Tribolium castaneum: one gene and its partners. The protein of the gene in region 2 purifies or fractionates together with the protein of the main gene of each other region. This does not show direct contact. Links are inferred from orthologs where the notes say so. Each region holds a gene or a part of one and is shown on either strand. Other genes may lie near its edges.

Region 1 (5,109 bases), on a different chromosome or scaffold from region 2:
TTATTTTTGCGCGGACCAAAAAACTTGGGACACCCTGTATATTTGTTTCTTTGGTGATTAGTTTCCACCTATTACACATTTACTTTTTGTAAAGATGCATTAACGGACATTATTAAGTAACCTATCAAATATTCTAGAATATCGTTAAAAATATTTAAAGCCAAAAAATTTCGTGACATAATATTTCCAGAAAGCACAAATAGAATTTTGTCTCAATACACTACAAATGATAGAATTCTCCTTAGAGGTGGTTCTGTAATAGTGTATTTTTCAGAATAACGAAATTACGAACTGTTGACTGAAATTATTTGCTTCAGAAATGAATTTCAGCGATTCAAAAATACGTTACATGACGTAATCGTAATAAAGATCAATGAATCAGTTTGTTTCCCACTTTGTAACAATTCTTATATCACAGATTTTTTTTGTAACGTTGTATCCATATTTTTATACAATTATTATTGTGCCGTTTAATCTTATTCAGTTTGTTACTTGATGTCGTGGCATGCAGACGCCTCATAACATAAATAAAGAATTTTGCGGTTTAAAAATTTCAAAATCGTTGAAAAGTGCGTGCCGATTTCGGTTAGTGTGTGCTAATGAAATAGAATACTGCAATAGTATTTTTAGAAAAGTTAAAGTTAAATAAATGTCAACTTAATTCAAATTAGTTTAATTCAGAATTATAATTATTTCGTTTTCTCATTTTTGCGTTTATTTTGTTTTTAATTTATTTTTAATGTCTTGCTACAAACTGCAACAGAAAAAGATGCTACAAAGGTAAGTGTATTTTTTTTTGTTATTTACCGTTAAGTGAGAAAAATTGATTTTTGTGTTGTATTTGATTTCAAAACCAATAATTCCTCTATTCGTTACATTTTCTAATAAACATTTTTTACCTCATTCTTATTTAGTTCATTATTATATCAATTTGACAAATTTAGAGCAGTCTTTATATTAGATGTATTGCTGGTTGCATTTACAGGCGCAAAAATATGTATTTATTTAAGATGCAACGTGATATTTGTAACACAACCACTTTCCTTACAGGAATAACTGCAGTCTAGCATTCATTTAATAACTGGTCTTTTTTTTTATTGATTTTATTTCACATATTAGCGAAATGTTAAGTAAAAATGTTACAAAATCTTGCAAAAATGCTGTAAAATTTAATTTTCAACTTATTTTTTTATTTAACATATTATTCAATAAGAATCGTTGATATTTAAAAAAAAATCCAATTTTTTCACAATAATCTGTCTTTTTTAATAATTGGTCCTTTTCTGTTGATAGAAACAAAAAGAACAAGTTTTAATTTTGTACTTGTTGACAACAGTTTCTGCGACTTCTTTTATTTTTTAAGGACTGTTGCCCTTAATAAAAAAATCCTCAACTTATGCAAAAATAATCTGTGAAATGAGTTGTTTCGACTTGTTTTGTTCCTAGTTTTTTGCATTCAGAACAACAGAAATAGTAAATGTTATTTAATTTTTTTCAGAATTTTCTAGCAAAAGAAATAACACTTAGCGTCCATAAGATATAAAGACAAGTCAGATTAGAACAAAGTTAGCAATAAACCAACCTTCAACTGTCGTCTTGGAAACTCCCCCAAACAGCATCAAAAGTATCCCCCTTTTGACCTCCTCATTCCCGTGAATACTCGGAAATAAACTATTGATGAGATTCTGATACAAATTCCTGTCGTGGCTCATCTCATACATGTGATTCCACTCGCCCTCTGTCATCTGCTGTCGCATAATTTCGGGAGTAATCTCATTAAGAGGCATCTCAATACCCCCAAATTTGGGGTTAGTGGGCTGAACACTACACGCGAGAAACGCCATTCTGTAATGAAGATCACGCACTCCTAGGGCTTTGAGACCCCTAACCCCTTCAGTATCGTCACCACCCTTGTGACGCGAGTTGATCTGAGCCTTCGCCCCAGGAAGAGCCAAAGCCCCCACGTCCGGGACCACGATGAGAGTCCCCGTGAAGTCATAACGATCGCCGGCCTTTTTCAATCATTTGTTTAGTAACATGAAATTAAGTTGGCTACAATGACTGACATGACCATCAATGTAGCCAACTTATTTTTTGGTGAAAAATTGTTACCTGGACTGTTTCCACATTTTCGGCTCTTAAAATCACCTCAACACACCTCGGAATGCACCCCCTTGGCAACTCGGCTTGAGTTTCCTGTATCCGGACTTTCTGGAAGTCCACAAATAGGGACTTGTCCACATCTAGCATAAAGCGTCTCCTGTTATTGCAAACAGGGTTGCGACAAATCGTCGGATTAGTAAACTGTGAATTTAGATTAATAAACAGCTCTTAAAACAAAAACAAAAAAATCTACCTTAAATTGTTGCTCAACATCTTTAATGACAGTTTGGCAATCCAAACAGACGAAAGTCCCCAAAATCAGTTCAGGGTGTACAGGGTGAGTCCTGATAACCTGTCCTGAGATCCGAATCAAAGTCCCAACTTTCTCAGTTTTCAATTCTCGTACTTTGTGTCTTGTTGGAACATCAACAAAGCTGATATAACACTCTTTATCTTTTTTCAAATCGCTGCGGTCTTTAACGAAATTAGAGACGGCTTGGCAAAGATAAGGGTAAATCCGGTAATACTCCTCGATAACGGTCGTTGCAAGATTTTGGTTATATTTCTCTAAATCTTCAAAACTGACTTCAATAGTGCTGCGCTCTTGGTTGAGGAGCTCCTTAGCCGGCTCCAAATACTTGATTTCGCCGTCCTCTTTAAATCTGGGGGCGCCTCATGTGTGATAATACCAATTGGGGGGTTGGTAAGGGGGTACTTACTCTTCTAAGAAATCCTGGAATAATTTCTGGCACCTGACACCGATTTCATCCTGGTGTTGCCTCTGGCCGACCTGGACGTTGGCTACATCCATGTTTTAGCGATTTAGAACGAAAAATTCGGGAAAAACAGAGTAAACAATAACGCAAAAAAGGCGGGAAAGTGACTACGAACATAACCATACATTTTTACCCGCCAGACGGGTATCTCTGTTACCGATGGAAGTAACTAACAAAGCGGCCTCTAGCGAAATGTTTTTCAAACTACCAAATTAGCGGAAAATTTAACTTATGGTCTGAAACCGCCACTCTATCATAAATATTCAAGAATTTCGAACGGTAATTATCTATTTAGATTACATTTCTTTCTCTCAGTTTGCACTAATTTATCAATCACGAAGGAAAAAAACGCTTATTAAAAAAATGAAAATGGGAAACTTTTTTTTGCTTTTTTTTTATAAAATCTAGAGCAAAATCAGATATCGCTTACAATAATCTATTTTTTCGTCAAAATTCAAAGCTGTTCTGGATTTTGATCATAAAGACAAAAGTCGTATAGCAAAACGGTTTGATTCAGTGAATTCTACGGCTGGTTTTATGTATTCTACCAGCTTTTCACAATATTTTGAAATTTTCTGCTTAAAATTTAATAATCGAGGCACTTACCTTTTCAAAAATTAAAAAAAATTAACTCACTAGCAAAATTTTATAAACTTTTCTATGCCTTTACATAACCCACGGAGTTGTTGAAAGTACAAAAAAGTCAATAGGTTCGATATTTTAAAGTTTTTTTCCCATTTTTTCGAGATTTTTGTCGGAAAACGAAAATATTTTTCATGTAGTAACTTTCGAACTATTCGAGATAACCTTATGGAAGTTTATTAGCGTTGGAAAGCTCTTACAATTATCTATCTTTTAAAAAAAAAACATTGTTCTTTGGCTAATAATTTTCAAGAAAATTCCAAATAAAGGCAGAAATAGATAAAATTAAAAAAATTATAACTCTAAAAAACTAGTGGTAATTTTGCGATTTTCTCAAAGCCAATTGCTTTGATTTTTCTTATAAACACCATTTTTAACATTTGTATTTGTGAAAAGTTTTTTTTATTCCTGATTACAACGATGTATTACATAATATGAATGAATCTTACATGATAATTAAAATTAAGAAAAAAGCGTTTTTGCAAAGAGTGCTTTGGAAAAAACGTCAAGAATGATGTTTAACAAACTATATTTTGACAGTTCTATCAAACATGCGAGCAAAGTATTTATAACTTTAGGAGTAAAATTGTAGCTTATCATGTCTTAGTTTTTAAATAAGTAAGCTTGGCGGAAATGTGAAACTTTCAGATCCAAATTGAATTAAACCTCTAAAATCTAGTTAGCTTAAAAACAAAATTGTTGACGTCTTCCCCAAAGCACTCTTCGCAAAAAAGCTTTTTTTCTCCATTTTGATCACCATGTAAAATTCGATCATATCATGTGATACATCGTTGTAATCAGAAATAAAAAGACTTTTCAAAAATACAAAAATCGAATATACCTTTCCAAGAAAAACCAAAGTTGAGTGTTTGAAACGCAGTCAGGAAGAACGCCTTGGAACTTCCTATTTAAAAACGTCTAGTTTTTAGCTTTCCCTTGAAAAAATTAAAATTAAAAATTTCTGTTTTGTTTAATTATAAAAAAATTAATAATAATTATAAACCTCGTATTCTTATAATAACAGATGGAGGTCGAAAAACGGACACTCTGTATAAATAATTAAAACAGGCACGTTTTGGTAAACCTTTATTTAATAAACTTTACACTGAGTTACATTAAAAATGTTAACAAATCCTATTGTAAATAATTATTAAACATAGTCCTCGTGTTATTGTTATTTATTGATACAACATTGCTCGAACAACATACAAATATATCTGAACCTTAATTTTGATTGTCTACTTACAAACAACGTTGATAATTTTATTAATATTACGTCAACAACTCACTAGACCCATAAATATGTGACATTGTGCGATATGGAGGGTTTAGGTATCACATTCATGAATCTAAGTATAATTTAATATTTTTTTAAGTAGTAAGTTTTTAGTAAATCATTTAGGATGCGTGTGCGTCACACGGCGCCAATTTCAAATATAGTTTGATTAGTTTGATTGTCTTAATTGTTTGATTACAGGGTGGAACAAAATTGATGATGTAGGAATCCCTCAGTGTGATCTATTTTCGCCTAATTGCTTAGTTCAAACAGTTAGTCTTCGAATATACCCTGCCATGACTTACTAAATAA
Region 2 (5,010 bases):
ATGCCTATAATGATTGATTTCTCGTTGAAACTATGAATTACATTAGCTATTAATGTACCACCATTAATGTATCACCACCCTAGATCACCACAATTAATTACATACAAAATTAACAAAAAACAGTTAGCCGTAGCGATCTGATTCTTGCAGATTTGGATTCCGCCGGTCATTTTACGTTAGAAACACTCAATCATAAGGCAATGACTCCAAAAAATTGACAGATAATGACGTGAGTTTAGTTAAGACATTTTTGTAACGAGACTATAGTTTTGATGATATCTTTCGAACGGTTAGCCGTAGCGATCTGATTCTTGCAGATTTGGATTCCGCCGGTCATTTTACGTTAGAAACACTCAATCATAAGGCAATGACTCCAAAAAATTGACAGATAATGACCTGAGTTTAGTTGAGACATTTTTGTAATGAGACTATATTTTTGATGATATTTTCGGAACGGTTAGCCGTAGCGAACTGATTCTTGCAGATTTTGATTCCGCCGGTCATTTTACGTTAGAAACACTCAATCATAGGAAACTAACTTCAAAAAATTGACCGATAATGACGTAAGTTTAGTTGAGACATTTTTGTGACGAGACTATAGTTTTGATGATATCTTCCGAACGGTTGGCCGTAGCGATCTGATTCTTGCAGATTTGGATTCCGCCGGTCATTTTACGTTAGAAACATTCAACCATAAGGAAATAACTCCAAAAAATCAAATTAAATTTCCCAATTGATGTAATTAATTGTGGTTATATTGTATTTTTATGTATAATTTTAGCCTGATGAAGTTTATTATATGAACGAAACGTTGCAACTCGTCTTTTTGTTAAGAAAGCTGTCCTAACGTCGTTAAATTTTATTCCAATCAATTACTTCAGGACGTTTAACGTAAAAAATCTTGCAATTTGATAGATTGATAGAATTACGATTTAGGGAATATGTCAACTTGCTTGTAGAGGTCTTATTTTCCAGCTACGATATTTTCAATTTTAAACTTCGAAAAGATTATTGGTGCTTTCCAACTTTAAATATGGTCTTATTATTTAATTATTTATGTTTACATTAATTTAAAATAAAATAACTTGGTTGGCTGCCTCTGGATCAAATAGGTCGTTTATAATTATTAGGTATTATAAAAAAAGTGTTTCACCTGTGATAGCTTCCAAGTCGATTTCCGCTCCCACCACAGACTCGGTCTGAGCGTCGGAGCTTTCGCCCTCACTGTCCGAACTGTGAAAATCCAATTTTGCCAAGCTCTGCTCCAAATTGAACGCTTCCGAATGTTGTTTTTGTCGCCTCAAATACAGAATTTGGCGTTTTAACATTCGGCCTTCCTCATGTACGTTCCCTTCCCTTTGACAACTCTCTATAGCTCGGCTATAGACAGCTCTAACTTCACTAATCGGCTCATTTGCTGCTTCTTTTGTATCCGCAATATTGCTCAAAGTATTCAAACTGTCCTTCAAATTCTTGCAAAGAACCAACTCTTTCTCGAAATACTCAACAGCTTCCTCAAACTGGCCGTTGTCTTTGTAAGTCTCCGCCAGACTGTAATAACACGAAGCCAGGTCCGGACCGGTCATTTCGGCCTTTTCCGCCGTCTCCATCATTTTTTTGTAATAATCGAGCGCTTTGGTGTAGAGTTTCAAATGGCATGCGCCATCGCCCATCTTTTCGTACAATTTCTTTAAGGTAGGATAGTCAGTGCTATCAGTGACCAAAAGCTTATCCTGGTTGTAACACATTGAAGCGACTAAAATAATCACGATCACAAGAAATTATTTTTTTGTGTTATTTTACTCACCAACTTTCAAATTATTTTCTATCGTTTTCCGCTCCTTGACATCCGGCGTGTTAAGTTTGTACGCCTTGTGGAGGGCGTTCTTGGCCCCGTGTAAATCCCCCAACTTTAAGAGAATCTCAGACTTGCTCAAAAAAATCCCAGCCAAAAGAACAGCCTTATTCCGTAATTTTTCTAACAAATTGTAATTATTTCAACTCTTGAGCCCCCTTTTTGTGTTACTCACTTGCAGTCTCAGCGGCCAAATTACACTGTTGAAGGGCCGCCTTACTGTCCCCCTTTTTGACCAAAAGGGACGATAGGGACATGTAGCCCCTTTGCAGCTGCTCGTACAAGTCGTGAGCCTTGCACTGGTTTATAGACTTGGTAAAAAGTTCCAAAGCTTTGTCGTAATTACCGAGAGAGTCCTGGACTAAGCCTAAATTGCAATAAAGGCGCGCACACATGTCTGCAATTTCCAGTTTACTCGCCTCCCCAACTAAACTAAAACCATTCATCAAACTAAGAAAATAACTCGTTTAATTGTAAATAAGCACCTCTGTGACACTACTAAACTCTTCATGAAAAATTTATTGGCCAGGTTTAGGTTGTTTTTGTCGGGTTCGGGTGAATCTAGGTAGGTGGTGAGGTAAGTGTGGCCAATGGTGGCAAGGGCACGTTGTTCCTCCAGCTTATTTTTCAATTCCCTTGCAATATCTATGCCAGGTAAGTGGCTCGTTTCTATACTACCAACGTAACGACTTACCTAAGTAGATTTTTTGGAGTTTCAAGGCTTTATCAAACTTTTGTAAGCCCAAATAGGCCTCACCTATGCCTCTACTGACTACAGCATACTCCAATTGCTTGTTTTGTTTCTTGTAAATGTTTGCAACAGTGGTGTACTCCTCTATAGCAAAGTCAAACCTGCCTTTGTCGACGTATAAATTAGCCAAGTCGGTGCAAACGCTGATAAGGACCCCTTCATTGTTTTCTCGGAGGGCTTTATTTCTCCGTTTCAAAAGTTCTGTAATTAAATAAGGTGTTTGTTGGTTTATAATAAATTAAAAACAGGAAACCCACTTTGTTCGTCCATTTTTTCTGTTATTAATAGTGACTCAAGTACATAAACACATGATGATCATTTTTATGCATGTTTGCCTTTTTGACAAATACCTTTCCCTCCAAAACAGCTGTCACTGTCAAAGTTTGCCGGTAATGATAGCAACGCAAAAGGTTATCGTTTGAAAATTATAGTCGACCAGCACAACATTGCTACGCACCTTGGCTTGGAAACAGAAATATGCATAAAACTTGTTTTTTTTAAGTCCCATTTTCACAGAACCTTTACGGCTTGAATAAAAACAAGAATTAAGCCTCTTATTATACATAAAATACGATTTTCTATAAAATGATGTAGGGTTTTTTACTTTTTTTTTTGGATTCAGGTGTGGCGGTACTGGCGGTCCTGTACAGGTATTTTGGACATTTCCAGTGGCGTATCAGTGTTTTTATTGTTTTAATCAATCACCAGTTTTTCAAAAACCCGGACAAAAACATGATTTAACGCGTAGGTAACGTTACAAGTCAATTAAGGAATTATTACATAACTTGTCAGGTATTTGTTTACTTGCGAAAAGTGAGGTTATGTCACAGTTGTGTAAACATCAATAAAAAGTCTTGTGTTTATATTGAGTGAAAAATTCACAAGAAAATGGCAAAGTGAGTATTGCCACAGTCTCTGATAACCAGATAACCGACCGTTTACAGGGAAATGATGATAATCCTAGTCTATGACTCTCAGATGCTCCAGAAAGAAGAAGACGACCCTGCGAGCGCAATTTTGTATTTCCACCCAACGTGGGTGTCAGACCAGCAAAAAACGGCTTTGTGTGGCCAGCTAATGGGCACCGTTCATTGCGTTAAAAGTATTTTTTCCGCCCCGAAAATAGTCTCGTTACAGAGCGGCAAATTTTTTATTAAGGAGTATGGGCGGTATCTGATGGTTTGTTGCTTGTCTTTCGCGTAATTTTGTTTAATTTGGTGGTGTGCCAAGGCCGTAGGCACCGATCGCAACATTGCGGATTGGTTACTGGAACATAGGGCCAACACAATGTCTTCACTGATAAGCTTCTTCCACCAGGACATTGAAATCATGTCGAAGTTGTACGACAACAGCGCGAAACTCTCCGCAAAACTGTATCAATTATTCGAGACTTATCTAAAGTACATGTTTCTGGGCGGCAATATTTTTTCCTATACTCCGTCGCTGAAACTACCAAAGGTGGCAAAAATCGATCTTTGGAGCGTTTAATCTAATTGTTTGTCCTCAGAGCGCAAGTAATGTGTTTTTAGAGGCCATACAAATACTACAGTGTTGCCAAGAACTCAATTATGTCATGGGCGGCACGTTGTTGTACCATAACAAGTAATTGTAAATTACGGGGAACTGTTATTTTGATTATTGTATTTTGGTTGTAGGGTCGTAGCAACTCAGCTGAGTTCAGACATAACGAAACGAATTGTATTAACGGATCCGTACCGAATTAAATGCCCGGCAGAGACACCTAGCGTCAATTTTGAGCTACCTCTAGGCGTCCAACTGCTGCAAGTATACATTTCGAGTAAAGAATATTACAAATTGCACGAGGAGGCGACAAGGAGTCGCAGTATTTTCCAGTACCTGAGCAGCAAAAGTATTAAAAAGGTTTGTCATTAATAATTAAATTTAAGGTAGGGGATTTAAGGAAGTTTCCCTTACATGGCTACAGAGGAAGCCCCGTTAGGGACGACAGCTGCTATGGTTTTTGAATGTTTATCTGATCTTAATGAAATTTTAATTTCAATTTCTTAAAACGTCGTGGATTTTTTTACTATTTCAGTTTCGAAATTCTTACTTAAAGGCACTGGCAATTTATCTTATCTGTTTTATGTTTTAATGGAAATTGAAAATATCGTAGCAAGATAATCACTTCGAAAGGAAGAAATCGTGACTTTACCACCTCTCATTGCAGAAGGCTGACAGACCACCTGACAGATATTTGAAAAATTTTCACACAATCCACAAAATCCAAATTGACTACTTTTTCGACTAATTTCTTTTCCAAAATTTATTTGTTTACTATACTACTATTTTTTGTGCTCAAATCGGTTCAGGGATTATCGTTAGAAATAAAAACCAAAAAAAAAATCGGTTTTAGGTTGTTATGTCAGTTTCTGTGACGTCTTTG
Region 3 (4,906 bases), on a different chromosome or scaffold from region 2:
GTCAAAGCCAACTGTCACACAAACGCACAAAACAATGCGAAAATGGAATAAATCCCCAACAAAATCAGGTCAAGTCTTGCATTTATGATTAATTAAATTTTAACAAAAGTCGATTTTATTCAATGAGCTATTTTTAGCAACATTCACATTCTTCACGCCATGACCCCCAATATTTACTTTCTTTGTATCTCATAAATTTCATCCTACTTTATTTAAAGACTCCCACTGAGCCACCCTTTGGACTCATCCAATATACTCATACTTTCGACGAATTAGCTATAATTCAGCAAATATCTTATCACTTTATCAATTTATCGTTTCCTCTAACCCGAATTTCCTGGATTTTTTTCCTCAAAAACGTAAAAATTAGCTAGGAAAAAGAGTGGTATATAGGTTTTTGGTGGAGATTGAGGTTAGTTTGCCCGGATCGATAAGATATCAACAGTGGAACAGCTGAGCATCGCGGAGGGGATTGCCAGGCTACCGGGATCAATAACAATAATAAACCAAACAATTGCAAAACGGAAAAACGGCCTACTTTTCATCCACATGCATAAAAGATTTGGCAAAAATTTACAAACGCGCCTTCTCCTCGTGGTCTATTTTTACAGAGGTGTTAAAAAGCGTCAAGGTCGCCATTTCTCAAAATATCTCACCTTTTGGGTTTCCAACGTCGCTTTAAGACGCCCAGCATTTTCCAAACTACATACAAGACGAGCAAATGGAAGAGGAGAATTTTTCAGGTCACAAAACAGCACTCGTTGCCATTCGCGCGTTTTGTTTTTTTCTTACATAGCGAATGAAAACGTTCGTAAAACTGAAACGCGCTGAATTTTTTTTTCAGCAACTCGCGTTATTACGAGACACTTTACACGACCACTGCACTCGTCGAGTGCCTCTCCTGAAATCAAGATGCTGATGCTCAAAATAAACAAGTTGGGGTCATATGACCGGAATGGCGGCACCGGATTGGCGGATCCGGTGAATGCCGGGCTTTGACAGCCAACTCCGGTATTGCTGTCATTGACGGAAGGAAAAAAGTCATCAACCTGCGATTTTGCCCATTCAAAGCGGAGAAAGGAGTTTTTTAATAATTATTTAAAATATCGTCGTTTTTTATATATTTTTCGGTCCACGCACCTACCATTTTATAAATATTTGAGCACCCATGATTTTATTGATTTGGTTTAATAGAATTTCCAAAAAAAAATCCAAAACCGCGTCAACATTTACGATAATTTCCAAACTTTCAGATAAAAGCGACCACAAATAACTTTTTCTTCATTTTGACTGTTTGTGGTTTCCAGTCGGATTATTTGCGACCACAAGAGCATTTTTTATGTCAAGTGACATTATTATTGAAACTGAATACGCTTTATGCAAAGTAACTCAAGTCGGGCAGAATTTTATTACACCTCATAAATTTAAAAAGTTGTATTTTGGTTTCAGAATGAAAAGAACTAATTTTTGGTTGTGGGCAAAAATAAAACAAAATAAATTTAGCCCTCTCGTTTATTTGTTTATTACAATGAATACTAAGTAATTTACATTTGTAATTACAATAAAATAACAATTTTGAATTTGTAATTTTTTTTAATTGCGTAACGCTGCCAACTTATTTCTAGTGGTTTCGCGGGCTTGTTGTGGCAGCCTGACTTCAAGGCCGAAGTTGCGTCAAATGGCGGCATAACCTGTAAAAAAAATCCAAACAAAAAGAAACACCACAAAAAATACTTGAGCTAAGTTTTTGTGTTTTTATATTGTTTTTTTCGTAAATTAAACCAAACTTTGAGTGAATTTTCCCCAAGATGGATTTCCTGGAATATTCGGACATCTCTGCCGAAGTCAAAGGCTGCATGGTACGTTAGCCCCCATTCCCCCAATTCCCCCTCAATTTCCTCGTTTCAGACCGGCGGTAAACTCAAAATGACCGACCAAAACATCATTTTCAAAAACTCGAAGACGGGCAAAGTCGAGTCAATTTCGGCGTCCGATTTCGAGGCAGTCAATTTCCAGAACTTTGCCGGTTCGTTGGGGATCCGCGTGTTCCTCAAGAACGGCACTTTGCACCGATTTGTCGGGTTTAAGGACGCGGAAAAGGAACGTATCGCCAAATTCTTCTCGAACACTTACAAAATCGACATGCTGGAGAAGGAGTTGAGTCTCAAGGGCTGGAACTGGGGCACAGCCAAGTTCAACGGCTCGGTTTTGAGCTTCGAGGTGGGACATAACAGCGCTTTCGAGATTCCGCTCAATCATGTGTCTCAATGTACGGCGGGGAAGAATGAAATCACGATGGAGTTTCATCAGGTGGGAAGGGGGCGCTTATTTTTATTTCAAACTTTTTACTTTTACCAAGGTTTTAAACACGTTTCTCAGCTTTTTTCTTAAAATTTCGTTAAAACATAACAAAATCACCAAATTGTTTTTAACTGTTACGTTCGAAATTACACGTTTTTTGTTAGAAATCAAACTTTTTTCCCCGTTTTCTGGCCGTTTTGTCAAAAACTAATCGATTTTAGAATGATGACGCCCCTGTAAGCCTCATGGAAATGCGATTTTTCATTCCTTCAAACGAATTAGCCGGAGACGTGGACCCAGTTGAAGCCTTCCAAAAACAAGTCATGAAGAAGGCTTCGGTTATCAGTGTCTCAGGCGACGCTATTGCGATATTTCGGGAGATTCAGTGTCTCACACCACGGTTGGTTTGAAAAACCACAAATAAATTTCCCTAAGAATTTTTTTCTAGTGGTCGTTACGATATTAAAATTTTCCAAACGTTTTTCCAATTGCATGGAAAAACATTCGATTATAAAATCCCAATGTCGACAGTCTTGCGTTTGTTTCTCCTTCCACACAAAGACAACCGGCAGATGTTTTTCGTAGTGAGTCTTGATCCACCCATCAAACAGGGCCAAACCAGGTATCATTTTTTGGTCTTGTTATTTGGTCAAGAAGAGGAGACTTCGATCGAATTACCCTTTACCGAGTAATTAATTAATTAATTATTAGGCCAAAATTTTTTCCTAATTAATAATTCCAGTGAGGAACTCAAGGACAAGTATGAGGGCAAGCTGGATAAGGAGTTATCAGGCCCCACTTACGAGGTCTTAGGCAAAGTCATGAAGGTTATAATTAATCGAAAACTGACCGGCCCGGGGGGCTTTGTCGGGCATTCAGGGACCCCAGCTATCGGCTGTTCGTTCAAGGCAGCCGCTGGTTACTTGTACCCCCTTGAACGGGGCTTCATGTACGTCCACAAGCCCCCAATTCACATTCGTTTCGAGGAAGTGGCTTCTGTGAATTTCGCCCGAGGTGGGGGAAGTACCCGTTCGTTTGATTTCGAAATTGAGCTCAAATCCGGGACTGTCCACACCTTTAGCAGCATTGAGAAGGAAGAATACAACAAATTGTTTGATTTCATTACCACCAAGAAACTGAATATCAAAAATCGGGGCAAAAACGTAACAATTTCACTCGTTTTGGTTTGGTTTAATTTGATTGGTTCTTTCAGGATAAAGGGGGCTATAATGACGATTTTGGCGATTCGGATAATGAGGCGGCCCCTGATGCCTACTTGGAGAGGGTTAAGGCCGAGGCACAAGAACGTGATGAAGATGATGACGATGGTCCAAGTGAAGATGAGAGTACTGATGAAGATTTCAAGCCAACTCAGGATGAGAGTGACGTTGCTGAAGAGTTTGATTCAAGTCCGAGCTCAACGTCGTCCGAAGACGAAGAGAAAGGTTCCGGTGATGAACATAAGAAGAAGCACAAAAAAGAGAAGAAGGAGAAGAAAGAAAAGAAGAAACCGGCTAAGACAGTGTCGGAGAAACCGCGCCAAAAGCGGGCCAAGAAATCAAAGGACGAAAATAAACCGAAAAGACCATCGACGGCGTTCATGCTATGGTTAAATGAGATGAGGGATAAAATCAAGGCAGATAATCCCGGGATTAAAATCACCGAAATTGCAAAGAAAGGTGGAGAGATGTGGAAGGAATTGAAGGATAAGTCTGAGTGGGAGGGGAAAGCGGCCAAAGCCAAAGAGGAGTACAACAAGGCCATGAAGGAGTATGAAGCTTCAGGGGGTTCAAAATCGGAAGATAAAAAGTCAAGTGAGAAAAAAGCACCAGCAAAGAAGAAAACCTCTTCTATGCCTTCCGTCAAACCCAGTCAAGTCAAAAGTCGGGAATTTATCGAAGACGACGACTCGAGTAGCGACAGTGATGATGATAAAGGCAAGAAAAGGAAGGGTTCCGATAGCGAACGCGGAAAACCCAAAGACAAGAAAAAGAAGAATAAATCCGAAAGCGAGGAGAGCACACCCGCGTCAAGTGACGCCAATTCCGATAGCGATTAAGTTTCTATTTAATAAATATGTTTAACAAACACCCGGCTTTATTTATTACATAACCTTAATCTTACATAACCTTAATTTCGCAAAAAACGCTATAATCGGCGCAAATTACATTGAATCGCCCTTTGATGCTTACTGTGCATGTGGGGGCCCCTTGCTTGTTTTAATTCGAGATATAAATGGGAAACAGCACGTTATTTACCATTATTTTTGTGACATAACCTCGCTTTAATAACAGCGATGTATTTCACGAAAATGGCTCTGAATCGCTACTTGCTCCACTTTTCGTACATCGGGACCCCTTTCATGTATTTGCTTGCTTCAGTCACGGTCGCGGCTCTTTCATGTTTTTTTTAGGGGGGCTCAGAGGCAAGTCACCGGTCGAATGCCCCGGCCCGATGACCCCTCCACGGTCCAAGGGCAGCTCGAAATGGCTTTGAAACGACTGAACCCGACTAACGACCCTGTCGTGTATTTGTCTAGCAGGTAAAAAATTGTGTAAATTGAACCACGTGCAAGGTGTGGTTTTAGGACCGATTCGGGGGTCCA

What was found.
Region 1: the proteins of tonsoku-like protein (region 2) and Mcm6 purify together in Homo sapiens (affinity purification with mass spectrometry; 3 studies listed by BioGRID and IntAct, with this or other methods). This does not show direct contact. The link is inferred for Tribolium castaneum from reciprocal best matches to the Homo sapiens genes TONSL and MCM6.
Region 3: the proteins of tonsoku-like protein (region 2) and Ssrp purify together in Homo sapiens (affinity purification with mass spectrometry; 5 studies listed by BioGRID and IntAct, counting the BioPlex papers as one, with this or other methods). This does not show direct contact. The link is inferred for Tribolium castaneum from reciprocal best matches to the Homo sapiens genes TONSL and SSRP1.

The regions. Positions count from the first base shown.
Region 1 is NC_087400.1:6,015,034-6,020,142, forward strand, and holds the start of Mcm6 (DNA replication licensing factor Mcm6), read right to left. Parts: upstream 3,024-5,109; 5' UTR 2,915-3,023; coding exon 2,823-2,914; intron 2,766-2,822; coding exon 2,357-2,765; intron 2,305-2,356; coding exon 2,113-2,304; intron 2,013-2,112; coding exon 1,583-2,012; intron 1-1,582. UniProt on the Homo sapiens protein: Acts as a component of the MCM2-7 complex (MCM complex) which is the replicative helicase essential for 'once per cell cycle' DNA replication initiation and elongation in eukaryotic cells.
Region 2 is NC_087394.1:23,964,693-23,969,702, reverse strand, and holds the start of tonsoku-like protein, read right to left. Parts: upstream 3,012-5,010; 5' UTR 2,877-3,011; coding exon 2,864-2,876; intron 2,808-2,863; coding exon 2,550-2,807; intron 2,501-2,549; coding exon 2,341-2,500; intron 2,288-2,340; coding exon 2,031-2,287; intron 1,979-2,030; coding exon 1,808-1,978; intron 1,757-1,807; coding exon 1,154-1,756; intron 1-1,153. Other genes in the region: uncharacterized protein HPS4, read left to right, coding at 3,495-3,502, 3,551-3,785, 3,837-4,064, 4,114-4,208, 4,262-4,487. UniProt on the Homo sapiens protein: Component of the MMS22L-TONSL complex, a complex that promotes homologous recombination-mediated repair of double-strand breaks (DSBs) at stalled or collapsed replication forks.
Region 3 is NC_087395.1:25,956,750-25,961,655, reverse strand, and holds Ssrp (FACT complex subunit Ssrp1), read left to right. Parts: upstream 1-1,648; 5' UTR 1,649-1,808; coding exon 1,809-1,859; intron 1,860-1,908; coding exon 1,909-2,310; intron 2,311-2,522; coding exon 2,523-2,701; intron 2,702-2,749; coding exon 2,750-2,989; intron 2,990-3,043; coding exon 3,044-3,464; intron 3,465-3,514; coding exon 3,515-4,360; 3' UTR 4,361-4,389; downstream 4,390-4,906. Other genes in the region: uncharacterized protein LOC661743, read right to left, coding at 657-694; tRNA pseudouridine synthase-like 1, read left to right, coding at 4,598-4,665, 4,715-4,843, 4,889-4,906. UniProt on the Homo sapiens protein: Component of the FACT complex, a general chromatin factor that acts to reorganize nucleosomes. The FACT complex is involved in multiple processes that require DNA as a template such as mRNA elongation, DNA replication and DNA repair.